Linked DNA regions of Oryctolagus cuniculus. The protein of the gene in region 3 binds, or shares a complex with, the protein of the main gene of each other region. Links are inferred from orthologs where the notes say so. Each region holds a gene or a part of one and is shown on either strand. Other genes may lie near its edges. The genes, in order: MCM2, SSRP1 and SUPT16H.

Region 1 (9,671 bases), on a different chromosome or scaffold from region 3:
ACTGCCAAAACGACAGCGGGCGGTGTCCAGGGGAGAGAGGTCAAGGCTTGGAGTCTTAGCCCGCCCAGCAGGGGTGCAGGCATGTGAGGAGGCTGTCTGCCCAGTGGTCTCCGCACAGTGAGCGTCTAACAAGAGAACTCTGTACTCGGTATTTGCCTGGAACGGTCGAGGTGATTTCCACGTAGTGCCAAACGCTGGAGGTGTCCTCTGGGCCCGTTTTGCTGACGAATACACTGAGGCACAAGGGGTTAAATAAGGATTTCCACCTTGGCAGTCGGGGAGCCCGTGCTCCCTGGACTCTCACGTGGCTGCTTCATCCGGTCACCACAGCTCGTTTTATTTGGTTACGAGGAGGTCCCTGGGGCACTCCATAACGCAAGGCTTAGTTCACACTGCAGAGCTGGCTGTCAGAAAACTTCATATGCGTGTGGAATGGTGTCATGAATTCGTCTGTCTAGTCCATTTTGTGCTGCTATAGCAGTGCCACAGACTGGGTGATTTTTTCGAGAGGCAGAGGGGGGGGACAGCATCCATGTGCTGGGTCAGTCTCCCTGCCCGCCCCGTGCCTGCAGTGGCTAAGGCCAGGAGTCAGGAAGTCAGTCCAGTCCACAGGAGTGGCAGGAACCCAGCTGCCTGAGCCGCCACCTGCTGCCTCCCAGGGTCTGCGGCAGCACAGAGCTGGAGCCAGGAGCCAGGGCCAGGAGTGGGACCTTGGGACTCCAGTGTGGGGCAGAGGCAGCTTGGCCACGAGGCCTAACCCAACCACGATGCGGTTATCACACTCGAGAAACAGTGAATGATTGGGACTGTGTTAGATGTCTCTGAATGTCTGACCTTTAAAAATCGGTGTGGGGGCTGGCCTTGTGACGCAGCGGGTTAAGCCGCAGCTCGCAGCCCTGGCGTCCAGTCCTGGCTCTTCTGCTTCCAGTCCACCTTGCTGCCCGTGGGCCTGGAGGCAGCGGATGATGCCCACGTGCTTGGGCTCCTGCCACCACGGGAGATACCTGGCTCCTGTCTGCAGCTGGTCCACCCTGGCTCTTGCAGCTGTCGGGGGAGTGACTGTGGACATAGGATTTCTCTCTCTCTCTCCTCTGTGCCCACCTCCTATTCCCCCCAGCACTCTGCCTTTCACATACATAAATCCTTAAAACGTTTGTTAGATGTTAGTGGCTTCTTGGAGCCAGCTTCCAAAAAGGGCCCACGGTGATGACTGATTTCTAAAGCTCATCTCTGAATCTCGTCATCTTCAGGCCGCTGCTTCTCCCTACTCCCCTTCAGTTGTTTGGGAGACACTGGGTGGTCTCCCCTGCTGAGTCTCCCAGAGTCCAGATGTTGCTGACCTGTGCTGGCTGAACACAGGCCCCGGTCACCTGTGCGTCAGTAAACTGGCGTCAGTTAGAGAAGCTGAGTCAGACTCTGTTTGGTTTTCATTCTTTCTGTGTGGGGGCCCTGGCTCTCACGGGCGGACTTCCTTCTGATGGGAGTGGCCACCAGGGACGGGGCGATCCTTGGCCAGGGCCACTGGGTCACGAGGAGTTGCCAGAGGAGGCTCACTTGCCGGGAATCCTTGGCAAGGAGGAGCGTCTTTGTGAGCTGTGTTTAACACCAGGTCGAGCCCCAGGAGGAAGCGCAGGACGAGTGCTCGCTCGTTCCTCTTTGATTTGCCAGTTTGCAGAATGGCGAGTTGGTTCTGCAGCGTCCTACGACGTGAGTGGCGCGTCCTTACTGAGTGGCGCTGTGGTCTGTCTTGTGGTTGCCATCTTCACTGAGCTCAGAGTGGCCCGTTTTTGTCGTGTTGGATTCGAAGAGTCCTGCTGACCCCACCCTGGTTGTCTTTGAGCTGCCTCTCTGGGTTTCTGGCAGAAGATACCGTAGGCTGCTCTTGTACCTTTCCCGCTCAGACCCGGTGTCGGCCACTTCTCCGAGGAGTGGGAAGTCTTCAGTGGGACGCGGTGTTCAGGAACGTCTGACTTGGCAGGTGGGGTGGGCCTCCTCTTCCACCGTCACTGCCGGTTTTCTTCTTCGGTGCCCTCCTCCCCGGGGCCCTGGTGCCGTCTGAGCTCCTCCTTGCTTTGTCCTGGAAGGAGGGAAGTGTGGGGATTCCGTGCTGCTCCTGCTGGCCGGGATGGGGGTGGGGAGGTGGCACCGAAGGTCAAGGTTCAGCTCTGCAGCTCCTCCAAGCAAGAACTTTGATGCCTCTAATTCTGTCTTTAAAACTCACGCAGATTTGCGTTCTCTCTCCTGCACACACCCTCGAGAGCTGTTGCAGTGAGTTGGCAGTCTCAGCCTCTGGTGGACACAGCTCCCAGATGTGCAGTCTTGGTCATTGACCGTGGCCCAGCCATGAGCCAGGCACTTGCCTGTCTCTCTGCCACGTGATGACACAGGCTGGGGCGGGGCAGCGTGGTGAAGACCCCCCGCCCCCGTGTCTGTTATGGGCTGACTTCCGCCACATGGTGCCCTGCTCTCAGATGCGGCTCTCGCCTCATCTCCACTCTTGATCTGTGGTCTTGGGAAATTACTTCCTGGCGTAAGAGAGTAAAGGGGTCTTTGAGTCATGGGTCTGTGGTTGTCTGGTAGAACTGATGGGAAGGCCCCGCGTCGGGGCAGGGCCTGGTGGGCCGGGTGCCTGAGAGCTGGGGCCAGAGCGAGCACTCACATCGGTGTCCCTCCCTGTTCTCAGATCTTTGCCAGTATAGCGCCTTCCATCTATGGCCATGAAGACATCAAGAGAGGCCTGGCCTTGGCTTTGTTTGGAGGGGAGCCCAAAAACCCAGGTGAGTGGCTCGGGCACTACCCCTTCCTCTCCAGGGCGCTAGCGGCTTTTGCTCCGCCAGTGTCTTGGGGAGCCAGCACTGTGGTAACAGGCAAGGCCACGTGGGCGCTGGGTGGAGAGAGTGGGTCAGGCTGTGTGTGTGACCCGCTCACCAGGAGGGAGGACAGCCCCTGGCCACTGCTCCTCAGGCTGCTGGGGGATCCAACTCCACGGCTGCCTGCCCTTGTGCTTGGAACAAATTAGTCTTTGCTTCTCTCTTAGGTTTAAGCTTTAGCTACAACCGTAGCATAGAAATCTTTATTTTACATTTTGATAAAAGATGAGCACACACTGCCCTTTTTTTCTTTTTGATAGATTTATTTATTTGAAAGCATTACAGAGAGAGGTAGAGACAGAGAGGTCTTTCACCTGCTGGTTCACTCCCTAGTTGGCCCATATGGGATGCCGGCACTGAAGGCTGAGGCTTTAGCCCGCTGCACCACACCGCCTACCCTAGACTGCTGTTTCTCGCCCCGGGTCCCTCCCTGCCGTAGGTCACTCCCAGTCAGGTTGCTGTGTGTGCTCCAGGCCCTTGTGGCAATGTTAACCGATGTGTGCAGTGAACAAGGGGCTTCCTGACATACGTGCGCATTGATATTTGCAAACGCAGGCTTCCCTGTGCGTGTGCCCCGTGCCCTGCCCACCCCGACACACCCAGCTGACCTCCCCCCTGCAGCCTGCAGAGCAGGCTCATTCTTGAGTCTCCGTGTCCTGGTCCGTATAGCATGGTTTGTTTAGTTCCGGTTGAGTCTCCGTGTCCTGGTCCGTATAGCATGGTTTCTTTAGTTCCGGTTGAGTCTCCGTGTCCTGGTCCGTATAGCATGGTTTCTTTAGTTCCGGTTGTACATTTGAATCACTCACTGCTGTGCACACTCACATTCACAAAGGATGCCTTGTGCAGGCTGCGTCCCCGGACGTGTTCCTCAGGGTTAAATGCTCAGAACGGAAAGACTGCTGGTGGGGGCCGCCCCTCCCTGTCAGGGGGCTGCGCCTTTGCCATTGCTAATAAGCAGGTTGAGGGGTGGATGGGGTGCACCCATCTTGCCCCCCACCCGCCCCGTGCCTCTTCCAGGTGGCAAGCACAAGGTGCGGGGGGACATCAACGTGCTTCTGTGTGGAGACCCTGGCACGGCGAAGTCTCAGTTCCTGAAATACGTTGAGAAGGTGTCCAGCCGGGCCATCTTCACCACCGGCCAGGGCGCGTCAGCTGTGGGCCTCACAGCCTATGTGCAGCGGCACCCCGTCAGCAGGGAGTGGACCTTAGAGGCCGGGGCGCTGGTTCTGGCCGACCGAGGAGTGTGTCTCATCGATGAGTTTGACAAGGTGGGTCCCTGGGTGGCGTGGGCCTCGGCACTCGGCTTGGGCCCGCCTGAGACCGGCGGTGGGGGCTGGGCCTTGCTAACGGTTGGGCCCTCGACTGGCAGATGAACGACCAGGACAGAACCAGCATCCACGAGGCCATGGAGCAGCAGAGTATCTCCATCTCCAAGGCCGGCATCGTCACCTCCCTGCAGGCCCGCTGCACCGTCATCGCCGCCGCCAACCCCATAGGTACCCCGCGGGGCAGCTGCTGGGCTTGGGGCCTGCCGTGGGGCACTGGGCAGCATGGGGTCCCTTCCGCGCGTCTTATTGGAGAGGGCAGGAGGTCAGAGTGGAGGCACGGGTGTTTTTGTAGAGCCCGCGTCTTGGACCCACCGTGGCTGTCCCCGGGAGGGGGCATCGTCTTAGCTGGGGCAGAGCTGGGTCTGAGCTTGTTAGACTTGCTCTTCAGGCTGTTTCAAGCATTGCTTGTGGAAAGAGCACTTTGCCTGATGGACAGTAGGTGCTGCGTGGCCATTCCGTGTCCTCCTTCCCTCCGACGCCCTCGTCCGCTCCCCCTCTGATGGAGGCTGGGGGCACTCGCTGTGATGCAGGGTACCCTGTGTTTCAGGAGGACGCTATGACCCCTCACTGACCTTCTCTGAGAACGTGGACCTCACGGAGCCCATCATTTCCCGCTTTGACGTCCTGTGCGTGGTGAGGGACACGGTGGACCCGGTCCAGGTACAGCCGCCTCTTCTGGGGTTCTGGGGCCCTCGTGTGAGGCTTAGGGCCGTGCAGTGTGCCTGGTGCAGGGAAATGGGCACTGCGCGGGCGTGGCCTGCTGTCCAGTGTTGTTCTCTCGGTCTTGTGTCATGTCCAAAAGTCCTGACTTCTCTTTCTTCCACCGGCCGCTCCCTGGCTGCCCTCCCAGCCTAATCCTCAACCTTGCAGTGAGTCTCTGCCCTTAGGCCTGAGAGTGTAAGTTGCTTATCGGCCAGCTTGTGGCTTTCCACTGAGATGAGAAGCCGTGGCCGTCCCTCTCCTGCCGGACCCTGTGAAATCTGGGCTGTCGCCGGCCGGTGGCGCACTGCCCGCACTGCTCCCTGCCTCTGCTTGCACCCGCCTGCTTCCTCTCCTTCCTGTCTTTCTTCCCGGCACATGAAGCTCTCTGTCCTGGAAGTTTGGAACTCCTCGCCTCCTCCCAGCTGTGTGACATCTCCCAGCGGGCACCCGAATCTGCACCGAGAGGGTGTGACGCGTGCATTGGTGAGAGGCCGTCGCTCTGCTCGCACACGCCACTCGGGCTGACCCCCCCCCCCTTCCTCCCCACCGTAGGATGAGATGCTGGCGCGCTTTGTGGTCGGCAGCCACGTCAGACACCACCCCAGCAACAAGGAGGACGGGCTGGCCAACGGCAGCGCCGCGGAGCCTGCCCTGCCCAACACGTACGGCGTGGAGCCGCTGCCGCAGGAGGTCCTCAAGAAGTACATCATCTATGCCAAGGAGAAGGTCCACCCCAAGCTCAATCAGATGGACCAGGACAAGGTGGCCAAGATGTACAGCGACCTGCGGAAGGAGTCCATGGTGAGGGGTGGCCTGTGTGCTCAGTCCCCAGAGCACGGGGCAGGAAGGCAGTGCAGAAAGCGGCACGTCTCTGTGGTCTTGGTCTCTTTTACGCCATTTTCTGTAACAGTACCCGCGACTGGGAGCTTGGGAAACAGAGGCTCTGGGACCTGCTGGTGGTGATAGCGGGTGGAAGGAAGGGTGAGAGGTCACTTAGCGGGAGGGGAGCGGAGAGCCGGCTGCCGAAGCCTTGCAGGAACCTGCTGGCCCCTGCGTTGATCCCTCCTGCCGGCTCACTGGTCTACCAAAGGCACCCCTTCCCAGTATTACGCCAAACCATGGCATACGCCTGCCTCGTGGTAGGGCCAAGGTCTTTGGATTGACCAACCGTCATCCTAAGTCAGCCACAAGACTCTGACCTTCTCTGGTTAAATTCCACATCGGCTTTGCGTAAATCTCACCCAGATCAACGTGAGATCTGAGCTCCAGGTTTCATTTTAGTTCATAATGAATGGAGCAGGAATTCTTTTATTTCCCTTATTCCTTTCATTCTAAATTTTTGTTTATTTACTACTTTATTTTATTTGAAAGGTAGAGAGCCACACAGAGCTCCTCCGTCTACTGGTTTACTTCCCAGATGTCCATACCACTGGGGCTGGACCAGGCCAAAGCCAGGAGCCCAGAACTCAGTCCAGGTCTCCCGCCTGGGTGGCGGGGCCCCATGCACTTGAACCATCACCTGCTGCCTCCCATGGTGCCCATTTACAGGAAATTGGAATTAGAAGTGGAGCCAGGACTTGAATGCTGTCACTCTGACATGGGGCGTGGGTGTCCCAAGTGGTGTCTGAAGCACTGTGCCAGATGTCCACCCTGGGAGGAAGAATTTCAGGGCAGCTCGTAAGCAGCTGGGATGCAGAATCCTCGTGGGTGGCTCTTCCTGCCCACACCTACTCAAGGCAGCCATGTTTTTTTGTTGTTGTTTTTGCCCTTTAGTTTTACCATGTCTTTCAGAGCATTCAACTCAGTTTTCGTAGAAACTACTTTTTTTCTCAGTGACATTTCACTGGGTTATGTGGTATTTGGTATGTGACAGTAGATTTTACAGCTGGCCACAGATAAGACCAGCTCTGAGCTGTGTTGAGGTCGGATGGGGGAGCAACCCCTTGCAGATGTGAGCGGCCAACATGCACTGCACACCTTCATGTTTTAAGAAAGACCCAGAAGGGGCTGGCGCTGTGGCATAGCGGGTAAAGCCATTGCCTGTAGCACCAGCATCCCATACGGTTACCGGGTTGAGTCCTGGTTGTTCCACTTCTGATCCAGCTCTGCTGTGGTCTGGGAAAGCAGTAGAAGGTGACCCAAGTCCTTGGGCCCCTGCACCTGTGTGGGAGACCCAGAAGAAGCTCCTGGCTTCAGATTGGCCGTTGCGGCCGTTAGGGGAGTGAACCAGCGGAAGGAAGATTTCTCTGTCTCTCTCTTTCTTTGCCTCTGCCTTTCAAATAAATAAATAAATCTTTTAAAAAATTCAGACAGACAGAGCTGGGAGCATGAGTTGGCCTGGCGCCTTCGCTCTGTGAGATAAGCCTGCCTGGTTCTGGCTGCCCAGAGTGCCCCCTCTGCCTGTCCTGCCTCTCCTCCCCCCCTGAGAGACCCGACGCCGTCCTCCCCCGCAGGCGACGGGCAGCATCCCCATCACGGTGAGGCACATCGAGTCCATGATCCGCATGGCCGAGGCCCACGCGCGCATCCACCTGCGGGACTACGTGATCGAGGACGACGTGAACATGGCCATCCGCGTGATGCTGGAGAGCTTCATCGACACGCAGAAGTTCAGCGTCATGCGCAGCATGCGGAAGGTGGGCGTGGAGGGGGCGTGGCCGCGGGCCAGCTCGGCCCGGGAGGCCGCGGGTGGCCGGCGCCCTGGCTGCCCGGCGGCGGCCTGACCTGGCGCTGTGAGGCGTGGGGAGCGGCGCTTGACTGTGCTGTCTCCCGCAGACTTTCGCTCGCTATCTGTCGTTCCGGCGGGATAACAACGAGCTGCTGCTCTTCATATTGAAGCAGCTGGTGGCAGAGCAGGTGACTTACCAGCGGAACCGCTTCGGGGCCCAGCAGGACACTATCGAGGTGCCCGAGAAGGACTTGGTGGACAAGGTATGCGCATGGGTGGGAGGTGGGGGTCGGGCTGTGCTGCTTTGGGAGCTGTTAGTGACATCTTGGGGTCGTTGAGCGGACCGGCCTCTGATGATAGCCGTTTGTTGAGTTTTCACAATTCCACGTGTGTGGCAGCTTGATCTTGTCTCATTTCCTAGAGGCAGAGAAAGGCACAGGGCCACCAAGGAACTTGTCCAAGTTCCACGGCAGCGGTGGAGCTAAGATTGGAAGCCTGGCTCCCGGCTCCGGCCCCGTGGTCGCTGCCCCTCCGGGTTCCCCTGCTCTGGGGACACGGCCCGGCTCACTCCGCGTTTGCTCTTCGCAGGCTCGGCAGATCAACATCCACAACCTGTCCGCCTTCTACGACAGTGAGCTCTTCAGGATGAACAAGTTCAGCCATGACCTGAAGCGAAAGATGATCCTGCAGCAGTTCTGAGGCCCGGGGGTTCTGGGCCTGGGGAGTCGGGCCAGGCGCTCAGTTTTACGGACTTTAGCCGAAGCCACTGGCGCTCAGAGGGTGCTGAGGCCACGGTGTGCAGCCCTGGTCTCCTGGGCTCAGGTCGTGTCTCGGAGGGAGGGTATTTATTTCTTTGGCTTCGCTTCCTGCTTCTCTCACCTTCTGGGTGGGCAGACTGCCAGCGTGTTAGAAGCTCAGTAGGCCGCGCCCACACCAGTGTTGTCTGTATATAGCACCTTGCACCACCAGAGTGCGCTTTAGGGGAATGACCGTCCCTGCACTGATGTCGGGAGAGCTGTGCCTTTCACCTTGGGTTTTGTGTCCACACTTGATTCTGCCGCCTTTGGCCACAGAGCAGTGTAGACGTCTCTGTTCTTTTTCACAGCTCTGTCCCGCGGTAGGGGAGCACCGCCCACCAGCGCGTGCCTGCGGGGCACCTGTGTGCTGCGGGCGTGGTGGGGCTTACATCCCCTGGCTGGGGCACTTGAGGGAATTGGATTGGGACATGAAGAGTCTCCATTAGCCACGACTGTCAGCCAGCGTTGCTATGCTCATCTGTTTCCTCGTTCTCCTGTTTGTACATGCAGGTCTGTTTCTAGAGTTTTAATTTTTAATAAAGAATTCCAAGCACTGGATGTATCCGTTGGCCTCAGTTCTGCGTAGTATCCCAACCCGAGCTTCCCCGGGCTTCCTTCGAAGGCCTTTTCCATCGTTGGCCTTTGGGTTTTGTAGGAAGTAGGGCAGATTAGGAAAGCAGCTTTGTGAATGTGGCAGAGTAAGAAATCACATGGACCTCCCTCAGGAACTCGGTGTCGGTGCTGTCTGTGACGTCTGAGTGGAATCCGTGGGGATCCAGGAGCAGGCGTGTGTGTGGCGGGACCGGGGGAGTGCGGCGGCATTGTCCTTTTCCGCAGTGTCGCTGGCTTCCACACCAGAGGCGCTCAAGGGCTGAGCTGCTGGAGGGCCTGGTCCGGGGTGGGGCTGAAGTGTCTCCTTGCTCCTCCTGCCTTGTCCAGTTGCGCCCTGGGGAACTTTCCAAGGTGCATCTGTTGGAGGAAAGCCCTGCAGATCCTTAGGGAAAGTGAGTGTCTGGGTCCCTCATCATTTCCCAACACGAGTAATTGCCTAAGAGCCTGCTAAGCACCACCCCTAGGCGGCCAACAGGCCGCACGTGGTTTCCTTTCCTCGCCCGGCCTGCAGCTCATGCAGGGCACGGGGAGTCGGCACAGGCCAGGGAGAGTCTGCAAGTCGTGCTGTGCGGCGAGAGGAAGCAAGCAGAAGTGGGAAGCTCCGTTGGCAGAGGTGGTGGGGAGTGGGTTGCTGAGGGAAGGACCCTTTTAAAGGTGTGGTTTCTGGGAGGATGGAGAAGGGGCCGGCCACTAG
Region 2 (10,159 bases), on a different chromosome or scaffold from region 3:
AGGCTGAGTCTAAGGTCATGCAGAGGAAACCTGCATCAGGAAGGGAAAGGGTCACACGCACCTCTTTTTTCTACAAGGGTAAGAAGAGAAGAGAGTGAAAAAAGAAGCCAGAAAAAAAATCTCTCCCTTTTCTCTCCTACAAAAGGGACCAGGAGAGCCCCAGCCTTCCCACACAGAGATACCTCTTTCAAGCCTCGGTTTTTGATGTTGAGCTTCTTTGCGTTGACAAAATCAAACAGCTTCCCATACTCCTCCCTGTGAGGGGAGAGGCACCACGTCACCAGCTGAGTAGGGCAAGACTAAACGATGCTCAGATACCCAGAAGCTGGGGTGGACTGTGGGCCTGGAGCGCTGAGCCACACCGTCGACCCCAACAGCTCAGAGAGCAGCCTCAGAGGACAGCAGCCAGGAAGAGTCACAGCTGAGTCCTGAAGGAGGAGCTCTTGAAGGTCAGGACGGACGGAGGTTACCTGTTCACCAGGTACCTACACTGCAGGCTCAGACTGTCCGGGCAGGGGGCCGTGCACCTACTCCCTGGCCTGTATTTCATGCTTCACCAGCTTGTTACTAGGATTAACCACGAAGACGTTCGGTAAAACATTTAGCCCACAGGGGACACTCTACACTCAGGGGCAGTGTTCTCAGACAGGAAGCTCACTCCAGGAAAGACACAGCGTTTCCATCACCGGCAGACTGGAGGAGAATCAGGGCTGGAATCAAGTGCACGCGGCTTCCACATAGGGAAAATAACCTTCTTTTGAAGAACAGAAAGAAAGCAAGAGAGGCTTCCAAAGTCTGAGGACTCCAAGGAGAAGGATCAAACCTCAGAGAAGCAGAAGAAAGAGTCACGGGCCCAGAGAGGGCCCCAGGCCCGGCCAGGCTTCCCAGGGGAGGCTGGGTCAGGACGGGGGACACCCAGGCAGTGACTGGGGGAGGCTCTCACCTCTCAATGCTACTGAAGGTGTACTGAGTGCCCTGCTTGGTCTCAATCTCGAAGTCAAAGGAGCGCGTGGTGGTGGTGCCACGAGCAAAGTTGACGAAGGAGATCTCATCAAAGCGGATGTGCACGGGGGGCTTGTGGACATAGATGAAGCCCCGCTCCAGCGGGTACAGCAGTCCTGAGCTCGCCTTGTAGGAACAGGTGATGCACTGGGCCCCTGAGTGCCTGAAGGAAGGAGCAGGGGGCCGACTCAATGCCAACCTCAGCAAAGCCAAAGGGCCCAGCAGGCAGCTGCAACACAGGTGAGCTCCAAGCCTCAGCCCGGTCAGTCTCACTCGGCTGCTCCAACAGACACCAACCACCGTCACGACACGCGATCCCATCTGCGAAGGGGTCCGCCACGGAGAGGGAGCATTTCCCTTCCCTGGACAGGGAACCCGGCTCGCATGCTCACCCTTGGAAATTGCCCGGCACTGTGATCTTGCGGTTCACCAGTGCTTTCATGACCCGGCTGACCATCTCGTAGAGGGATCCTGACATGTTCTTGGTGAGCCGCCCCTCAAAGCGCTTCTCCACCTCTTCCCTACAAACAGAGCAAGATCACATCACCGGCATTAGAGACTTCTGCCAGCATCATCTGCCTCCTGCCTGCACAGCGGCAGGACGGGAGTCCAGGGAGACACTCACTCATTCATGTTCAGAGTCAAGGAGATGTCCTCGTCCTTGGAGAACAGGAGGATCAAGAAGTGGTAACGGGTTTGGCCCTGCTTGATGGGAGGATCCAGGCTGATCTGATAAGGAACAGCAGACAAGGTTAAGCACCAGGCGGGGCTCCACCAGGACTTCTGACGGACCAATAGTGAGACCTGCACCTCAGTGAGACCCAGTCACAAAGTCCTCAGACAGGCCGGCGCCGCGGCTCACTAGGCTAATCCTCCGCCTAGCGGCGCCGGCACACCGGGTTCTAGTCCCGGTCGGGGCGCCGGATTCTGTCCCGGTTGCCCCTCTTCCAGGCCAGCCCTCTGCTGTGGCCAGGGAGTGCAGTGGAGGATGGCCCAGGTGCTTGGGCCCTGCACCCCATGGGAGACCAGGAAAAGCACCTGGCTCCTGGCTCCTGCCATCGGATCAGCGCGGTGCGCCGGCCGCAGCGCGCCAGCCGCGGCGGCCATTGGAGGGTGAACCAACGGCAAAAGGAAGACCTTTCTCTCTGTCTCTCTCTCTCACTGTCCACTCTGCCTGTCAAAAAAAAAAAAAAAAAAAAAAAAAAAAAAGAAAGTCCTCAGACAAAAATCGGGATCCTCCGCCCCCAGGGGCTCTGCTCACCACAAAGAACATCTGGCGCTGATCCTTGTGGGGCAGCAGGAAGAGACGCAGTACCGTGGTATAGGGGATCTTGTAGTCAAAGGTCTTGCCGTGCAGGTGCAGAAAGGTGGGGTAGATCCGGATGTCGTAACGACCACGGGGAGTCAGGCACTGCAGCTCCCGGAAGATGCAGATGGCGTCTCCAGTGGCCTGGATGACGTCCGCCTTGGACAGCACGTTCTGGGCAAAGGCCTGCCGAAGCACACACTGTTAACCCGGCAGCAGGCCAGCCCATGGCCTGCTCAGCCCCGTCTGCACCGGGGCGCCTGGGGAGGCCTCACCTCCACGGGATCCACGCCGTCCTCCTGGGTGGGAGGCACGTAGAAGCGGACCTCCATGAGGGACACCTCCGCGTCGTCGTTCTGGTGGAATTCCAGCGTCACCTCGTTCTTGCCTGTGGTGCACTGGGACACGTTGCTGAGGGGTATCTCGAAGACCGGCTGGTCACCAATGTCAAAGGAAAGCAGCTGCCCTGTGAGAAGAGGGCTGCTCAAGCCTCAGGCTCCCCCCACGTCTGCATCGACAAGAAGCCCACCGAACCTGGAGTTCCGTAAGGGCGGGGTGCCGGGGCTGTTTGTTCACGCTGCACCCCGAGACCAGGCACAAAGCCTGACACACCACAGGTGCATTGAGCAACCCACCCGACAGGAAACCGGAGACTGTGGCAGAGGAAGAGAATAAGAAAGGCTGCAGCCCTTGATCCTACCTGCTCCCCAAGACTCACCTCCAAACTTCACCGTCCCCCAGTTCCAGCCCTTCACACACAGGTCCTTCTCCATTAGCTCAAGGCGATAGTGAGTTTTGAAGAAATCAGAGAGTTTCTCAAACTCCTATGAGTGGAAGGGAGAAAGTGCAACCACAGTCAGCTCCAGTGGCCTTAACCGACACGAATGTCCTGACATTACCTATATCCAAAAAATTGCCCCAATAGGACTTCTACCAAAAAATCCATGCAGGGAGCTGGTGCTGTGGCACAGCCTGCAGTGTCAGCACCCCATAAAGGTATTGCTTCAAGTCCCAGCTGCTCCACTTCTGAACCGGCTCCCTGCTAAGGCGCCTGGGAAAGCAGAAGATGGCCGAAGCCCCTGGACCCCTGCACTCACATGGGAGACCCAGAAGAAGCTTCTGGCTCCTGGCTTCAGCCTGGTACAGCCCTGGCCTTTGCAGCCATTTGGGGAGTGAACCAGTGGATGGAAGATCTCTCTCTCTCTCTCTCTCTCTGTAACTCTCCCTTTCAAATACATAAATAAGTCTTAAAAAAAAAAAAAAAAAAGTCCATGCTGACTCAGCAGCTCAGCTCTGAAATGGTTTAAAAGGTTGTGGAGAGAGGCTGCTCCTGGGAGCTGGACCTCAGACTAGGGGAGGAGTAAAGAGAGGGACTGGCATTCCTGTTTCTGGACCTCACCATGTTATCTGACTTCCTAAACTTTGTGTGTTCATTGTTTTAATAGAAGTGGACATTAAAGTTAAGTCTTTCACTCAGAACAGTTTAAGAGGGAAAAGCAAAGCCTGAACTAAAGCATCCAGCTAAGATTCTGAACCTGGATACGAGCAAACAAGCAGAAAGCACGATTTAAACCAGAACAGTAGGAAGCAGATCTTCTGGAACCAAAACACAGAAAAGCTGTGAACGCTCTAGAACACTCAGAGCTGACCCACTGATTGCTCAATGGCCTCAATGGCCCTGCCCAGGGAGCCAAACCAGCACCACGGGGGCTACCAGAGGGAACCTCAACTCCCTCTAGAAGACTAAAAGCAGACAGGATGGCACGGTAAAAAGGGGGCTCACGGCAACAGGGCGTCTCACCGATTCTCGGAAGCCGTCATACTTGTAGACGTGGCCATTCTTCGTGAGCAGTTTAAGTCCGTGGCCGAGAGCCACCCGGCGCCAGATGCCCTCCGTCAACTCCCCAGCCTGGATGTTGTCTACTTTGCCCGTCTTGCTATTCTTGAAGATAATTCCCTGGCGACTCAACCTCAGCCGACCGTCATTCTGTTGGGAAAGTGAGCCCAGATGCACGGGGACAGTACAGACCGTGTCCTGGGTGCAGCTCTACCCAGCATTCACTTTGACTGCCAGGTGATCAGGGCAGGAGCAACAGCTGAAGCGAGGACCAGTAAAGAGACACAAGTGTCCAGGAAGTCTCGGTTCTGCACCTGGCTCGGGCATCCAGAACCTGCGCAGGCCATCAGTCTCCTCGTTTGAAACACAGAATAGCAAATACGGTCCCTTCACACCCTGAGATCCTACAACTCTCGCGACTTTTCAGAATTGCCTTTTATTGGGGGGAAACACCAGGTGCACGTTATACAGAGACTTCCTTTTCCCAGTAGAAACGTCACCAGGACAAGCTCTCGTTCATGTACATCAACTTTAGCTCGCTCCCTCCTTCCATCTCTATTAAAAACGCAAGCCCTTCTCACCATGGAGCCTTTCACCTCCTGATAGACATCGTTGAACTCCAGTGTCTCTGCCATGTTGACCTGCCCCTGGTGGCCTGGGCAGAGCCCTAGGCCTCACAAGGGAAACCGAATACACTGGGCGCTGGGCCCCAAGTCCTGGGTGAGTGTGCAGATGGTCAGCAGGTTGGGAATCTGAATTCAAGAGAGAGTCATGAAACGCAGCGCCGCGCTCTGCTCACGGATGGAGCCAGGTGGCCGCCCCTGGGGGTTCACAGACTCTCCTCTGCCCGGGAACCAACAGGCCGGCTGTGCCGTGCTCCGGGGGTCAGCCCCGGTAATCCCAGGCCCGCAGAACCACCCCAAGCCAACACCCTCTCTGCGCGCCACACCGGGAGCCATGGTAACGAGCAGCGGAACCCCAAGGCCTGCCCGCAGCGTGCACATCTCCCGCGCCCCAACCCAGCTCAGAGCGCTAGGTTCCATCCTGGCCCTCATGGTTCTCCCCTCCTGCTAAAATGGATTCGCCCGCTGCCTGCAGATTCGAACGCGGAACGGCCCATTCGGAGCGTCCCGCGGGGGAGCGGGGCCCAGGGACGACGACCACCCACCTCCTCAAGCTGCAGCCTCGCGACGGGCCGGGCGCGGGCGGTGGGCGCTTCGGGGGATGCGGGGGAGGGGGGCGGGGACGCGGGGAACGGGAGTTAGCTGGGGAAGCTTTTCCCGCGTGCGCGGCCCCGCGTCCCGCCACCGGAAGCCGCGCACTGACCATCGAGAGGATGAGCTGGCTAGAGAGACGCCAACCAGGCCCGCCGCAGAGACAGTCGCCTAGAGCGACGGCGACGCTGGAGGACCCGAGGCCGGGGCGGTAGCGGTGAAGTCCGACTGACTAGAAAATGAAGGCTCATCGGGCTTCTTAGAACGTTGCGGACACGTCAAGCGGAGACTGGATCCTAAAGGGAAATCGTGTACCGTGGCTTTATTTTTGTCAGATTTCGGAGGTTGGGGGGTTAATTTCTGTAGGGGTTAATTTCTAGGGGTAGAAAGGAAGCTGTGGAACACGAAGAAAAATACCTCAGAGTTGCGGAGAGAAACGCGTGCGGGCGTTCGTGTCCTTTGTGGCAGGCCTGCTGGCCGGCTGCCCCCTGCTAAGTGGGATTGATCCTTTCTGAAATGAGTTCACCGTCTACACCCAAATTCTGCACCTCTGTAACCGCAGTGGCGCTGGTAGTGACTGGCAAATGGCAGGATCGAGTTCGAGCGCTGGTGTCGGGTTCACCTTAGAGCCAGAACTGATTGGAAACCACATGAGCTCATCTTGGAAGAGGTGCACCTTGCAAAATCAGAGCCGGCCTGAGCTGGGAGAGAGGTTTGGAGTTTATCTCCTCCAGCCTCCTGCGGAGAGCAGTTGCCCAGCGGCTCTGGGAGTCGGCCACCCAGGTGGAGACAGGAAGCCGCCTCGGACTCCGGTCCCGTTCTCTTCTGCTGTAACCACAGTGGTTTTACGTCCCGAGCCACTGAGCCCATGTGTCCTGCAGAAAAGCATTCGTTACACGGGATATTTAAACTCAAGATTTCCCTGACGCTGGTTACACCAGCTTGCTAACTCAGTCCTGGGATAAGAGACAACACACCGTTGCCCCCACCACCACCCCAAAATCATGGCTTTTAACCTCTGGGTAGTGGCTATTCTAACATTATCTGAATATAAATTCAGTGTACCGGGGGCTGTAATTAATCCAACACACTTCTAGGATTTCAGTGAACAAGCTGAAAACAACTCCAGCCTTCCAGGGAAGCATAATCCAACAAATGACCTGAGAGTGTGTATATCCATATAACTGCTATATATATATATATATATATATATATATATATGTATGTATATGTATATATAACTGCTGTATAAGTTTTATATATATATGTATATATAACTGCTATGCTACAGGTAGAGCTTTAGCTGTGATCAACTGCAGTTTAAAAATATGTGACTCTATGCTATTTACTCCCTCCCAAGAGATCCAGGAAAATATTGAAGACACACCCTCCCCCCCAACTCATGCTGTTGGAGGCAACTCAGGGAGGGAGGGGGTGGCTGCAGAATTGGGTGGAACGAGACAGGCACTCACAGATGAAAGGGGCTACCCAGTTCAGGCGGATTATTAGGTGGCTGGGGGATGGGGCATTTGCAAGGGGCTTTAGGGAGAGCTCACAGCAGCTGGTGAGCTGGGATGAGGATGCAACAGAAGAGATCGGAACAGAAGCGATAGACAGAGTGCAGATAAAACACGAGTCCCAGAGGGCCCTAGCCAGCTGCATCCCAGGCAATCAGGAGCCCAGGCTTGGAGACCCCACCCCTGCCGTGACATCACAGGAGAGTGGGGTGGAGACAAATAAAAAGGGGGTCCCCCGCCCTGGCCCTGGACTCTTGGCAGCCAGAGTGTCAAGAGCAGAGAGAGCCTGGGCACTGGGCTGGGGTTGTCTGGCTTAAAGGAACAGGTTTCCCATTCCTGGAGCCCCTCTGAGCTACCTGCTCCAGGCTTCCTGGCCCCGAGGACCTGTCTTTCCTGAGCTGCCATTGGGCCCCTTCCCAGGGGCCCCTGAGCTCTCTGGCAGCATGAACTGTGTATCAGACTTCTTCACCTATGAGACCACCAAGTCGGTGGTTGTGAAGAGCTGGACCATCGGGATCATCAACCGAGCCGTGCAGCTTCTGATCATCTCCTACTTCGTGGGGTGAGTCTGTGACCCTGTCCTGGTGTCCTGCCCTCCCTCCATCCCACAGGGCTGCTCTTCAGGTTTACGGGCTTTGCCTTTTGGGGGAAACATTTTGCACTGTGCAGCCACTTCCTACAGACTAGCGTCAGCCCCACGCACTGGGATCTGGCCCCCAGGTGAATACTTTTCCCCAGTAAGTCCTCCAGAGTTGGAGAATGACTTCTAGATCCACACTCCAAGGAGTGGGGTCTTTGGCCTGGCACTGCCCTCCACCGGGAGCAATCCCAGGTGGCCCCTCTCCTCTACTTTCTCTCTCTCTTCCAGCCACCCCCCCACCAGAGAACAGCCAGCCCCTCCCCACATCCTCCCAGTCCCCTCAATCAGCTCTTTGGGGTCTCAAAAAGGCGAGGGAGCCTGGGGGAGGCCTGGAAACAGGGGAGATGGTAAGGATTGGTCGGTTGATGGGATTCATGGTGGGTGAGAGGGAGGGAGAACCGCTCTGCGTTGGGACGAGGAACTCCCCTCCTGGCATGGGGAGACGGTGAGAGGGCTTGGAAAGGGGAGAAACCCTTGTTCTTGGAGGCTAGGACAAAGATGGAAGCTGCCCCCTGAGGTGGCACAGATAACCACTCAAGGGGAGAGTGTCTGCAGAGGAGAAAGGTAGTGTTCCTAAACAGAGTGGGGGTCCCTCTGCAAGAATCCAGAACTGCCCGTTGTCAGACAGCACAGTTTCCCTGCTTCTGCCCGCCTTGGTGCCTGATAACCCAGCCTGAGCTCCTGGCAGCTGGCCAGGCCCAGACAACCCCTCCCGGCCCCACCTCTTGGAGGCTCACACCTCCATACACACAAAGGGCCATGGACCAGACAGCAGCTGGGGGTAGCAAGAGGGAGGCAGGAAAAAGACAGGTTCTATCTTTCTTGTGGTCATTTCCACGTAGCAGTGGGCACCTGAAAACATGGGCAGAACCTCAGAAGTTTTCTTTTCTGGTGTGTGTGGGTGCCTAGTTTCACAATGCTTCTCACAATGTGTGTGAGAGCAGCCAGGGATTGCCCATCATGAATGAATTCAGGCAAGCGATGGAGACATCCTGAGTGTGTGTGTGTGTGCAGGAGCCTGCTTACATGAAAGATCAGAGTAGTGGGTAAGGATGTACGTGAAACAATGGGAAGATATTATTTTTAAGCAAATTTTTTTTGCTCCACATGCTTGACAAAAGCCCGTAGGCTTCTGTTTGAGGATACTGTAGCAAGGGTGCGCATCCAGTGCTCCTTGCAGGGCTAGCAGAGTAGCTTTGGGGAATGGTTGAACAGCCTGGTATTCCCTTCCAGTACTGAGGTTTGGTGAGATGTGATGTTTGCTGATGTTCTGCATCTGTATCTCCCGAGCACAGTTCAAAGTGGGTTCTTAAACATCCCATGTTTGTGTGTTTGCTCAAGGCTGGGACCATTTATAGCCAAGAGACAGTGTGCTGGGCCAGGTGAGCGCAAAAGCTGTCTCAGCACATCCCCAGCCTGGCTGGCTCCGTTGGCTGCAGCCGGGAGTCATGGGAGGTAGAGATGCAGGCTCCTGGACAGCCGCCCCTGCTCATGTTTCCCCCTCGTTAGCATCAGTGCACGGGGCTGCAGCAAGCATGCGAGGCTCTTTGGCATCTTGGTTTCCAGCCCCATCCATCTCCCAGCCTGACAGCTCCCCACGGAGCAGTGCCTTCCGGTTACATCCGTGCACTCTGCAGTCTAGCCCTTTGGCCTGAGCCCATCCATCTCTGGACATATGAGCCCATGCACTTCTGTGACTTCATGAACCTGTCATAGTAAATTCAGAAAAAAAAATGTAGCCAGTATCCCTTCCAGCCAGCCATTGTGCACCAAGATGGAATGGTAGACAAAAGCAGACGGGGTCCACGCCCTCATGGGGCTTCCAGTATAAAACAATAATTCCATGACCTCACAAACATCAAGTTGCAACTATGACTCAGAGGTGTACCGAACTAGGAGAGCCACTATTGCTATGAGAGTGGGCAGGGATGAAGGAAAGTGTTCCCACAGATGTGATGACCGAGCCAGGATCTGAAAGACGGATGGGAGCAATTCAAGGGAAAGAAAGGAAGGCCCGAGGCTGAGAGTCCCCCCCACCCCCAGCATGGGGAAAGAGCCTAGCAAAGCGGAGGGTGCCCTGTGGCTGGAATGGAGGGAGCAGAGGCAAAGGTGCTGTCAGGTGGATGTGCACACAGAGGCCATTCTTCAGACTCTCGGAGAGCTTGCCCACAGAAGCGTTTAACTCTGCACACATGTGTGTGTGAGAGATGGAGAGGGACAGACATGATGAGATCTGAGTTATGAAGGTCGCCTTTGCTTATATGCCAAGGCACTGGAGAGAGTGAAAGTGGGTGCAGGAAAACTTGTTAAGAAGTGGAAAGAGGCCGGCGCCACGGCTCACTTTGCTAATCCTCCGCCTGTGGCACCGGCACCCCGGGGTTCTAGTCCCGGTTGGGGAGCCAGATTCTGTCCTGGTTGCTCCTCTTCCAGTCCAGCTCTCTGCTGTGGCCCGGGAGTGCAGTGGAGGATGGCCCAAGTACTTGGGCCCTGTACCCACATGGGAGACCAGGAGGAAGCACCTGGCTCCTGGCTTCGGATCGGCGCAGCGCCGGCCGTAGCGGCCATTTGGGGGGTGAACCAATGGAAAAGGAAGACCTTTCTCTCTGTCACTCTCTCACTGTCTAACTCTGCCTGTCAAAAAAA
Region 3 (10,379 bases):
GTGAGTGGCAGTTCCATCCAGCAAGATTTACAGTAATTCCCTTGGTATTGAAGCTGTGTGTTAAAGGGAAAGCATGCCATATTATATCATTGTTTTTGTATCTGCAAGATAAGAGTAATAATACCCAGTCTACCTCACAAAATAGTTATGAGTATTAAAGTGAAAGGATGTTAAAGCACTTATTAAACTAAATGCTAGCTAAATATCTACTATTAAATTATTATATGAACCACCTAATTTGGGGGAGGGGGAGAGATTCATTTAATGGCAGTTTTCCACTAGGATCAATCCTTTATCTGTGTAATAAAACATTTATTGTCAAACAAAAGACACTAATACTTTGATAGTTACTTCAGAGAATATTTTAGTTCCTCTGGAATAATCCATTGTTTTCTATTCCAGTATATGGAGGATCGCAGAAAACAGAAGTGGCAGAGATGTAAAAAAAATAATAAAGCTGACTTGAACTGTTTGGGAATGGAACCAATACAGACAGCTAACTCTAGGAATGGCAAAAAGGTGAGATGAGCGTTGCCATTCTGTCCGATGGTATCTGCAGTATTACAAAGCTAGAGTAGGTAATCTCTTAAAAGTTTCAAAATTCTGAAGGGGCTTCAGAAAGTGGATGGAGAAGTAGATTAAAAGATAATGTGAATTTTCCATAATTGTTTGATATATTTCAGAAGTGACATGGGGGCCCTCCTAAGGAAAACATGGGGTCTCCCAATATACAACATTAGAAGCCACTAAAATATCAGTAATGGAAAAAGCACAGGAAACCATGTTTTATAATCATAATGAGAATTTTGGTCATTGGGTCATTCAGAATTCCCAGATTTAGTTATGCTTTTATCATGGTTATAGACCACTTGGTATAGTAAGAATCCATAGTTTTTCTTTCCACTAAAATATTACTGCAAACTTTTCTTTTGGCTAAAATGACCTTACTCTGTGCAGCAGTTACATTTTTAATGCATATATGTATAGATCATGCTTTGGTTTGCTGGCAGTTATCTAGATGAACATGTATCTTTGTACTTGATTTAACCATTCTCCATTTGATTTTTATATAATCTATTAACACCACATGGTGGATCTTTTAACAGAATTAATTTCAAATTAATAATGTTTTATATTGCAGAAATTCTAAAATCAGCACATAATAGATTTTTGAGGCTTATCATTTTTATATAGGTAAAAATATTACTGTGGTAGGATGTTTTAATTTTCACTGTTAGCCACCATGAGACCAAGAGTATAATACGTATAATGTTTGATATTGGAAAGGCTGGGGGCTGGAAGACTGATGCCATCTTTGTCTTAACTGTATAGAACAATCTATAAAAAAGATTTTTCCTCCAGTATTGCCTATTTTTATCCCAAGTATTTTTGCAACTCCCTTACAAGGTCAGTTGACAACCTTAAGAAAGGCTAAATCACAGGAAGTCACAGCACATAATATGACTTGACCAGTACAGAATTCTTAGTGCAGAATTGACAGTGAATCTAGCATTGTTATTACCAAGACCTGTAGAGTTCAAGCGTTATTACAGTTTATTTAAAAAATCCATAGAAACTAATATTATGATGTTTGTTTTATAAAGGTATGCTCCCTTATTAGATGTTAGGCTTAGCTTGGGAAACAGTGCAGAGAGGTACCAGTTGCTATAAGCATTTAATCCCAGTTAACCCCATGTTGTGCTAAGGCAAGTAACAAAGCAGAGGCACTAAAAGTAATAATTTCCAACTTCAGTGAACTTAATCAGTATCTGTAGTCAGAACCATCCAGAAGAAGCCATTTAAAATTCAGCAGATATATGAATATGGTGAGGAGCTACCTATTATTTTAGTGTTCTAGGTATGTAGAAGTCTCCTTATGACTGTCTTGAATTTATCCTCTGAGGTGTAATACTAGAGAGTAATACTGTAAATATCAATATAGTCATGCTGTACTTCATGTATTAAGATCATGAGAGTAACCTGCTTCAATAGACACTTAAGTGTGCATGTGCTGACTCATTCACTGCCTTACCTATACCCCTTATTAACAAAAGTTGCACATTTGAAATGGTTGGCTGGAGTAAAGGTATAATATAGTCCCTGGGGGGAAAAAGCAATAATCTCTGGTTCACATATCAGTATCAAATCCTTAATCTTAGCTTCAGCATCATAGTTTCCACCAGCTGAGTCCAGCATTTATTTCCTGTTCCCCATTACCACTAGACAAGCCTAGTGCCATAATACTTGTTTTACCTCGTTTATGACAGATTCAGTAAAAAAAAAATTGTGAGCTAGGACTCCGCTGGCATCTTTATCTTCTCCTCTCTCTCCTGCCCCTTCTTTCTTTTTACTGTCTTCTGTTTTTTTTTCTCTCAGGGTCACCATGCTGAAACTGTGTTCAACCGGGTTTTGCCAGGGCCTATTGCACCAGAGAGCAGCAAGAAGCGGGCCCGCAGGACGCGACCAGACCTTTCTAAGATGATGGCCCTGATGCAGGGAGGAGGCACTGGGTCCTTATCTCTACATAACACCTTCCAACACAGCAGTGGTGGCCTACAGTCTGTGTCATCTCTGGGTCACAGCAGTGCCACTTCTGCATCTTTGCCTTTTATGCCATTTGTGATGGGTGGTGCAGCATCATCCCCTCATGTAGACTCCAGCACCATGCTTCATCACCACCACCACCACCCCCACCCCCACCATCACCACCATCACCATCCAGGCTTGAGAGCCACTGGCTACCCCTCTTCACCAGCGACTACCACCTCTGGTACTGCCTTGCGGTTGCCATCACTGCAACCTGAGGAGGATGACGACGACGAGGATGAGGAAGATGATGATGATTTATCTCAGGGCTATGATAGCTCAGAAAGGGACTTCTCACTCATTGATGACCCTATGATGCCAGCCAACTCAGACTCCAGTGAAGATGCTGATGACTGAAGCCTCAGCATGGTCCCCATTGCTTGGGTGGCTGCTGTATTTTCATTTACTCTGGCCCTTGGACTATGAAGAAATGGGAGGGGCAGGGGAGATGTGGGGAAACCCAGGACTCCAGGAGGTGGAAAGGGAAAAAAATCAAAACAAAAAAAAAAAACCTGTACCTGATTGCTCCCAATTTTGAGAGGATCGGGTGGGCAGGGGAACTCCTAAAATAATACATGACCACTTCCTCGTTGCTGGGGAAGGAAAGGAGACTAGAGCTGCTGGTGCGCTCACCCCTCCCTAGACACCTCCATTAACCACAGACTATGTAGCGCTGGCCCTCGCCTCTGGCAGAGCCTGTTCCTGGCCGAACTGTGGATACAGCTGGAGGGTCAGGAACTGTTACCTTCCTTCCCCTTGGCATTAATAAATTTAAGTTAATCCTTTTCCACTCTTCCCTTGTTCTATATTTGCTCAGGATGAGTACTGACTTTGAGATGATGTTCATGGTGGGTAACTTCAACACCACTTCCCTGAAGTTAGCACTGTTCATACTAAATTACCTTGGACCGAACACTTCATGCCATATGTAAATGCAAATGCCCAGCTTGCTAAACACAAGGGAATGATTTAAGGTGAAAGGTAAAATGTTTCAAACTTCCGAGTTCGTTCTTAGGAAAAGGAGAACCAAGAATCTGTCAAGAATCTCGTACATTCTCTCCCTACTGCACTGAAATAGTGGTGCTTTGGGGGAAGCTGTGGAATGGTGCCGCTTCTCATGAGCCGCAGTGAGGGGCACTAACTGAAACGATGCTCCCACGACGTGGGCTCGGGGTTATAAGAAAAAACCATGAAGGTTTGTGGAGCCCTCAAGCCATCTCTGTTAACCTCCCACCTTTCTACGATCCCACCGCTCAGATAAACCCTGGGCACTTTATTTTCCTTTCTGTGGCCAAGTGCTCTCCCTTCGCACGCGTTGTAATCTGTCGCGAGGCTGGGCGCCTCAGCCCTCTCGGAGGAGCGCTGGACCTAGCGTCCTAGCCCCGAGGAGCTTCCCTGCCCTAAAGCAGTGCTTCCTCACCATTTCTGGCAGAGGCGCGTAGCCGGTGGCACGGTCGTCTTCCCTCTCCTATCTCACGCTAGATCCCGCTCTTTCCGCTTCCCCCGCCTTTGCCGATGGGGTGGGGCCGTCACGGCCCCGCGCGGCAGCTCCTGCGAGGCGGGGCGCGCACGTCAGATCTCGCGCCGCTTCTGCCTCGCCGGGCGGCTGCGGCTTCCACCAAGCAGGCGCTCCGGGAGCTCGCGGCGGGGTGAGAGTAAGGGCGGGGGCAAAGCGTCACGTGATGACGTCCATGGCGTGCGCTCTGGCGAAGTTGACCAGAAACCCCGCGAAAATCGACTCCTTTCGCCTTGCACATTTTGGTGATTTTCCCCAGTCTTTTTCTTTCTCTCCTCCTATCCCGACTCTCTGGAGAGAGAATTTAAAAAACAAAACAATAAAACAAACACTCAGGACCCGGAAGCGGAAAGGGCATCTTTGAGGTCGATACTTCCGGGTCACTGGGAGAGTGCGGGATTCCGGGGCCGAGAGCGGTTGGCGGAGCCGGGACCTCGCGTGATTCTCGAAACCCGAGGAGAAGCGGTGTCCGGGGCTATGGCTGTAACTCTGGACAAAGACGCTTATTATCGGCGGGTGAAGAGACTGTACAGCAATTGGCGGGTAAGAAAAGTCCCGTGATTTTCCCTAGGGAGCCCCCCTCAACCATCCCATAATAACCCTGTTTCTCGGCGCCCTTTTTTCCCTTTCGTTCAGGAATTCCCAGGCTCAGTGTCGCGCCCTTTTCGTTGCCCTGAATCATGCCCCGCAGGCGCCTGCGAGTGCTGCAGGGTACCAGGGTATCCCCCGCAGTCGCCCTGCCCTGCGGCCACCACCATCTTCCCCGCGTGCCAGCCCCGGTCATGCATAACCGCCTCCTCTCGCCGTCGCTTCCCGCCCTAGACGAGGCAACATCCTTCCCTCCCGCCCTGCGATCACGTCTCGGTGCCCCCACCTGCGATTTTGCACGCACCCACGCACTCGCTCTGTCCCTCCAGAGCCACGGTTTTCCGCCCCTGGTCCCGCCAGAATTACAACCGTGTTCGTGAAGGAGGGGTGGAGGGGCACGGAGGATGTGCATCTGACTCTTCGTGTTCATCGTTTGCGGGGCTTCTGCTGGAGTTAAAAAAAGAAATAACTGCTCACGCGCAACTGCTTCGTGTTCTAGGCCCTGCCGTTGGTAACAGAAATCTAACGCTGAAAACCTGCAGGCATTAGTAATAGAAAAACAACGCTGTGAAGCCCAAACCTAATTACTAGTTTTCTTTCTTGGTAGTGTATCCGAGGCACGTGTTAAGTAAAAGCTGTGGCCGTCCCTGGTCTTGTAAAGACTGGGCAATGTTGCTGCTTTTAAAACGTCCACAGTTAAAAGTTATTTTTATGATGTTTATTAATTGAACGTGTGATTGCATTCTGTGGCTCAACCTAAGCTGTCCAGCTTGCGTCTTACCTTTGAACCCTATCGTCAAGGGAAGGAATATTGCCTTATATTAGACCTGAAAAACGTCTTTGACAAACGTGATCAATTCTGATTCCAACATTGTAGATTATCTTAACAGTTAAACCTTTACTAAAAGGCGGCTGTGAAAATGGGTTATTTCCCTGCCATTCATACTAGAAATTTGAGTGCATGTTTTATCTTCTGAAGATAAATGCATTAGATAATTGAAAATGGGTTTACTGCTGTATTTTATGAAAAGCAGAAGAACTCTATGCTAGACAAATGCTGAATGTAAATTATGTTTTTAAAATTTCTTATTAGCTAGCAGATTTTGCAACTTCTCACAATTTTATAACTCAAAGTTGTCTGTTTGAAAAGCTTTGTAAAGTCTCAATATTTTCTAATGAATAAGTACTTGTGTATGGTAATAATTAGAAGCCCTCTTCCACCTATGAGCCCTGGAATTAACACCTTTGATGTGGGAATTGGTTCAAGTGCTAGTAATTCAGAATTCCTCAAATTATTTCCTTTTTGGGTTATTGCAAATATTAGTTAAAATTTTCATAGCTTATGACCTGAAAACAATTGCAGTATCACATATTTGAACTGAATAGAAACATCAAAAATGTTAAGCCTATGTCTGAATAAATAATTCCATCTTTTAGTATCATGGGGGCCTGGTTCCAGGACCTCTTCACAAGTACTAAAAATCTAATAGTCTTCAGTCCATTATATAAAATATGGTAGTATTTGCATATAACCCATGAACATTGTCCTGTGTGATTTAAGTTGTCTCCAGAATACTTATAATACTTATCACAGCAGAATAGTCTGTAAATAGTTGTTATTCTGTATTGTTTAGGGAATGATAACCAAAAAGTCCATTTTCAGTACAGAAGCAGTTTTCTTTCCCTCAGATATTTTCAATGCATGGTTTGTTAAACCCCTGGATATGATACCCTGTACAGAGAGCTGACATTTTAAAGATGAGAAAATATGTTTGGTCAAAATCAAATAGGAGACCTACATAACAACTACTGTTTGTGACTTTTGTTGGACCTTTGCATCTCATCCAGTACAGTCTTTGCTTCTTCTATGTTAGAGCTGCTAACAACAGAATAGTTTTTATGGAACCTATCCATTTCTGCTTAGAAAATCCCAGATGGTAGTGGTGGATCATGGAAGAGGGTTGTGGGTTTCCTGTCCAGTTGAACTTGTTCAGGGATTCCCAGCCTTTATTTTGATAATTTTTAACCAAGTAGTGGGATTAGTACTGTTCTCTGTGGAACACAAAACAGATTACCTACCCTTCTGAGACTCCACTTGCTTTGAAGGGTAAGAGTATGGTACTCAGGCATACCTATTAATCCTTTGAGACTTACCCTTTAGGACCTTCTGCTCTGAACGAATGAATCTTCATGAAGAATTACCAGAAATGTCAGAATAGCAGCTGTTTTCAAAAGGAATGTTGATCTAGTGCATTCATTCGTGCCGTTCTATGTCAGTTCCCAGGTTTGGGGTAGTGAGTGACTGTGACCTCAAAAAGATTTGTGCCAGTGAAGAAACAGTAAGCTGAGCTTAGAGTCGGTGCTTCTCTCGAGTGCTGTCCTCTAGCTCTTAGCTGGTTTGTCTGGTGGTGCGGTTTCTTGCTCTGGGCAGTTTTCTAAGACTAGGCAACTATCTTCTGTGACTCAGGATTATTTTTTTAATATAGACAATTCCTGTATTACTTTTAGAAAGTCAATGGTTGTCCTCCAGCAAGATGATGGATTATGTCCACCCATCTCAGTTCTTTACAGCTCCTTTATCTTTAGAATAGAAGCAAGAAACCTTTAAGTAATGTTATGGTTTCTTGAATAAAGAGGGCTCTTTAGATGGAAGTAAATGCCAAGTCGGGGATATTTTTATTCCTGCTCACCTAACTTTTGTAGTGTAATTACATACTTTTTCTTTTTTTTTAAGTTTTTTTTTTTTTTGAGAGATAGAGCCACAGAGAGATCTTCCATCTGCTGGTTCACTCCCCAAATGGCCACAATGGCCAGATCTGAGTGAATCCGAAGCCAGGAGCCAGGAACTTCTTCCAGGGACCATCTTCTACTGCTTTCCCAGGCCATAGCAGAGAACTGGATCGGAAGAGGAGTATCCAGGACTCAAGCCAATGCCCATATGGGATGCCAACACTGCAGGCAGAGGCTTACCCCACAGTCCCACAACACCGGCCTCAATACTTTACTTTTTTTTTTTTTTTTTTTTTAAGATTTTATTTATTTGAAAGGCTGAGTCACAGAGAGAGAGAGAAGAGAGCAAGAGAAAGAGATCTTCCACCAGCTGGTTCACTCCTCAAATGGCGGCAATGGCCAAGGCTGGGCCAGACCAACGCCAGGAGCTTATCCCATTCTCCCACATGGATACAGAGTCCCTAGGCACTTGGGCCATCTTCCACCACTTTCCCAGTCACATTAGCAGGGAGCTGGATCAGAAGTGGAGCACCCAGTACACAAACAGATGCCCATATGGGATGCCAGCACTGCAGGCCAGCCCCTAATTACATACTTATTATGTTTCGTTTTTATCCCTTTTACTGACTCGTTCCTGGCATAGGAACTATGAGAAACTGTGATAATTGATTTCTGCACTTTGGCATATCTCTTTCTGGCGCTAATTAATGTGACCATTGTCGCTCCCCCTCTTCGTGGAGGAACAACACTAAGCCCTGCCTAGGCTTCATATCCGAGTCACGGCACCATTATGTCGCTCCCCCTCTTCGTGGAGGAACGACACAGGACCCTGCGCTGTTCTTTCGTCTGCTCGGCCCTCCCCGGGTTTGCTGCTGGTTCTTCCCGGGTTGGCTACTATCCCTTCCACCTCCGTGGAAGGGCAGTTCCCCCTGGCCACATTCCCCACTTCCGCAGGGGAGCGGCACACCGCCGGCCGGCTCTCTCGGGGGCTGCACAGGTGTTCCCTCAGATGTTCCCCTTAGATGTTCCTGGTGCATGCCATCTCTCTCCTCCTTTATAGTCCTCCTCTGCCAATCCCAACTCGGCTGCCCACACGCCGAGTACGCTGCTCTCCTCCAATCAGGAGCAAGCCCCACAGTTTATTGGTTGAACTGGAGGCAGCTGTGCAGAAGCTGTTTACTTCTCTCCCAGCGCCATATTGTGGGAGAGCAGATGCATAGAATAAGTCTTAATTCCAGTAACTCAGTCCAGTCCGGACTGCTCCCCACAACCATAAGTCATTTATTGTTAGAATTATCTCAGGTTTGTTTTTTTGTTTGTTTGTTTGTTTGTTTTAGATTTATTTTATTTATTTGAAAGTCAAAGTTACACAGAGAGAGGAGAGGCAGAGAGAGAGACGTCTTCCACCCAATGGTTCACTCCCCAATTGGCCACAAGGGGCGGAGCTTCCTCCAGGTCTCCCATGCAGGTAGAGGGGCTCAGGGACCTGGGCCATCTTCCACTGCTTTCCCAGGCCATAGCAGAGAGCTGGATCAGAAGTGGAGCAGCCGGGTTTCAAACTGGCACCCATATGGAATGCCGGCGCTTCAGGCCAGGGTGTTAACCTGCCACACCACAGCACTGGCCCCAAAATTGTCTCAGTTTAGGTGCCAAAACAGTGGTGTAGCAGCTAAAGCTGCTGCCTGCAGTGCCAGTATCCCATATGGGTGCCACTTTGAGTCCTGGCTTCTCCACTTCTGATCCAGCTCCCTGCTAATGGCCTGGGAAAACATTGGAAGATGGCCCAAGTGCTTAGGCCCCTGTACTCAAGTTGGAGACCCAGATGAACCTCCTTTTGCCTCAGCTCTGGCCATTGTGGCCATCTGGGGATGGGAGACCTCTCTCTGTCTCTCCCTCTCTCTGTCTTAACTCTGCCTTTCAAATAAATAAATTTTTAAAAAATAAACCCAACTTCACAATTGTTGCCAATTCCTTATCACCTGTATTACAATATTTTATTTGATTCTCATCTTAAAAATCATTTTAATTAATGCATACAATTTTTTAAAAAAGACTTTGTTTATTTGAGAGGTAGAGTTACAGATAGAGGGACAGAGAGAGGTCTTAATTGGTTCACTCCCCACATACGCTGGAACTGGGCCAATCAGGAGCTTCTTCCGGGTCTTCCATGCAGGTGCAGAGTCCCAAACACTTGGACCATCTTCTGTTCTCCCAGGCTGTAAGCAGAGAGCTGGATTGGTAGAGGAGCAGCTGGGTTACAAACCAGCACTTGTATGGGATGCTGGCGCCACAGGCAGAGGCTTAGCCCACTACACCGCAGCACCAGCCCCAATACATATATTTTTTAACAAAAAATCATAGTTCTAAGAAAAGCCTTAAAATAAAAAAGTTACTTGCCCCAGAGGCTAATAAGTTTTTTTTTGCACAGTTTTTAGAAAAATCAGTATCTGCATTCACATCATTTACTTATATAAGTATCTTCACTGCTCAGAGAATGTCACAATTCCTTTTCCTTACAGTTTTAAATTTTTTCTGACAATAATTGCCCTTTTTTTTTTTAATCTCCTTAGCCTTAGCTTTCCCCCAATAGGTCTGTCTTAATGTTATCAATTCTTCTGAAATCCTTACACTCAGAATTTTACTGTTATTTTTCATTTGTTCCTGAAGATTTTATTTATTTGAAAGGCAGAGTTAGAGAAGGAGAGACAGAGAGCTCTTCCATCCATTGGCCCACCCCATATGGCCACAACAGCCAGGGCCAGGCTAGGCTGAAGCCAGAAGCATTTTCCAGGTCTTGCACATGGGTGCAGGGGTCCTCCACTGCTTTCCCAGGGACATCACCAGACACCTAGATTAAAAGTGGAACAGCCAGGGCTCCAGCTGGCCCCTGTATGTGATGTTTATGCCGCAGGCCATGGCTTTAATCCGCTGTGCCACAGTGCTTGCCCCTAGAATCCAC

Evidence for each region.
Region 1: the proteins of SUPT16H (region 3) and MCM2 are in contact, whole or in part, in a crystal structure (PDB 8YJF), measured with the Homo sapiens proteins. The link is inferred for Oryctolagus cuniculus from reciprocal best matches to the Homo sapiens genes SUPT16H and MCM2. Residues at the interface, in NP_009123.1 of Homo sapiens: Gln898, Ser899, Leu900, Asn901, Lys904; in NP_004517.2 of Homo sapiens: Ile73, Gly74, Asp75, Met77, Tyr81.
Region 2: SUPT16H (region 3) and SSRP1 share a complex: the UniProt entries of both Homo sapiens proteins name them as parts of the FACT complex. The link is inferred for Oryctolagus cuniculus from reciprocal best matches to the Homo sapiens genes SUPT16H and SSRP1.

Annotation. Positions count from the first base shown.
Region 1 is NC_091441.1:110,392,248-110,401,918, forward strand, and holds the end of MCM2 (DNA replication licensing factor MCM2), read left to right. Parts: intron 1-2,683; coding exon 2,684-2,777; intron 2,778-3,887; coding exon 3,888-4,138; intron 4,139-4,239; coding exon 4,240-4,366; intron 4,367-4,745; coding exon 4,746-4,858; intron 4,859-5,452; coding exon 5,453-5,701; intron 5,702-7,353; coding exon 7,354-7,536; intron 7,537-7,675; coding exon 7,676-7,831; intron 7,832-8,156; coding exon 8,157-8,267; 3' UTR 8,268-8,923; downstream 8,924-9,671. UniProt on the Homo sapiens protein: Acts as a component of the MCM2-7 complex (MCM complex) which is the replicative helicase essential for 'once per cell cycle' DNA replication initiation and elongation in eukaryotic cells.
Region 2 is NC_091432.1:14,780,201-14,790,359, reverse strand, and holds the start of SSRP1 (FACT complex subunit SSRP1), read right to left. Parts: upstream 4,869-10,159; 5' UTR 4,781-4,868; coding exon 4,727-4,780; intron 4,296-4,726; coding exon 4,110-4,295; intron 3,133-4,109; coding exon 3,027-3,132; intron 2,775-3,026; coding exon 2,584-2,774; intron 2,495-2,583; coding exon 2,264-2,494; intron 1,732-2,263; coding exon 1,628-1,731; intron 1,524-1,627; coding exon 1,395-1,523; intron 1,166-1,394; coding exon 944-1,165; intron 256-943; coding exon 183-255; intron 1-182. Other genes in the region: P2RX3 (P2X purinoceptor 3), read left to right, coding at 7,320-7,438. UniProt on the Homo sapiens protein: Component of the FACT complex, a general chromatin factor that acts to reorganize nucleosomes. The FACT complex is involved in multiple processes that require DNA as a template such as mRNA elongation, DNA replication and DNA repair.
Region 3 is NC_091443.1:53,549,473-53,559,851, forward strand, and holds the start of SUPT16H (FACT complex subunit SPT16), read left to right. Parts: upstream 1-3,863; 5' UTR 3,864-4,579; coding exon 4,580-4,645; intron 4,646-10,379. Other genes in the region: CHD8 (chromodomain-helicase-DNA-binding protein 8), read left to right, coding at 403-519, 2,377-2,943. UniProt on the Homo sapiens protein: Component of the FACT complex, a general chromatin factor that acts to reorganize nucleosomes. The FACT complex is involved in multiple processes that require DNA as a template such as mRNA elongation, DNA replication and DNA repair.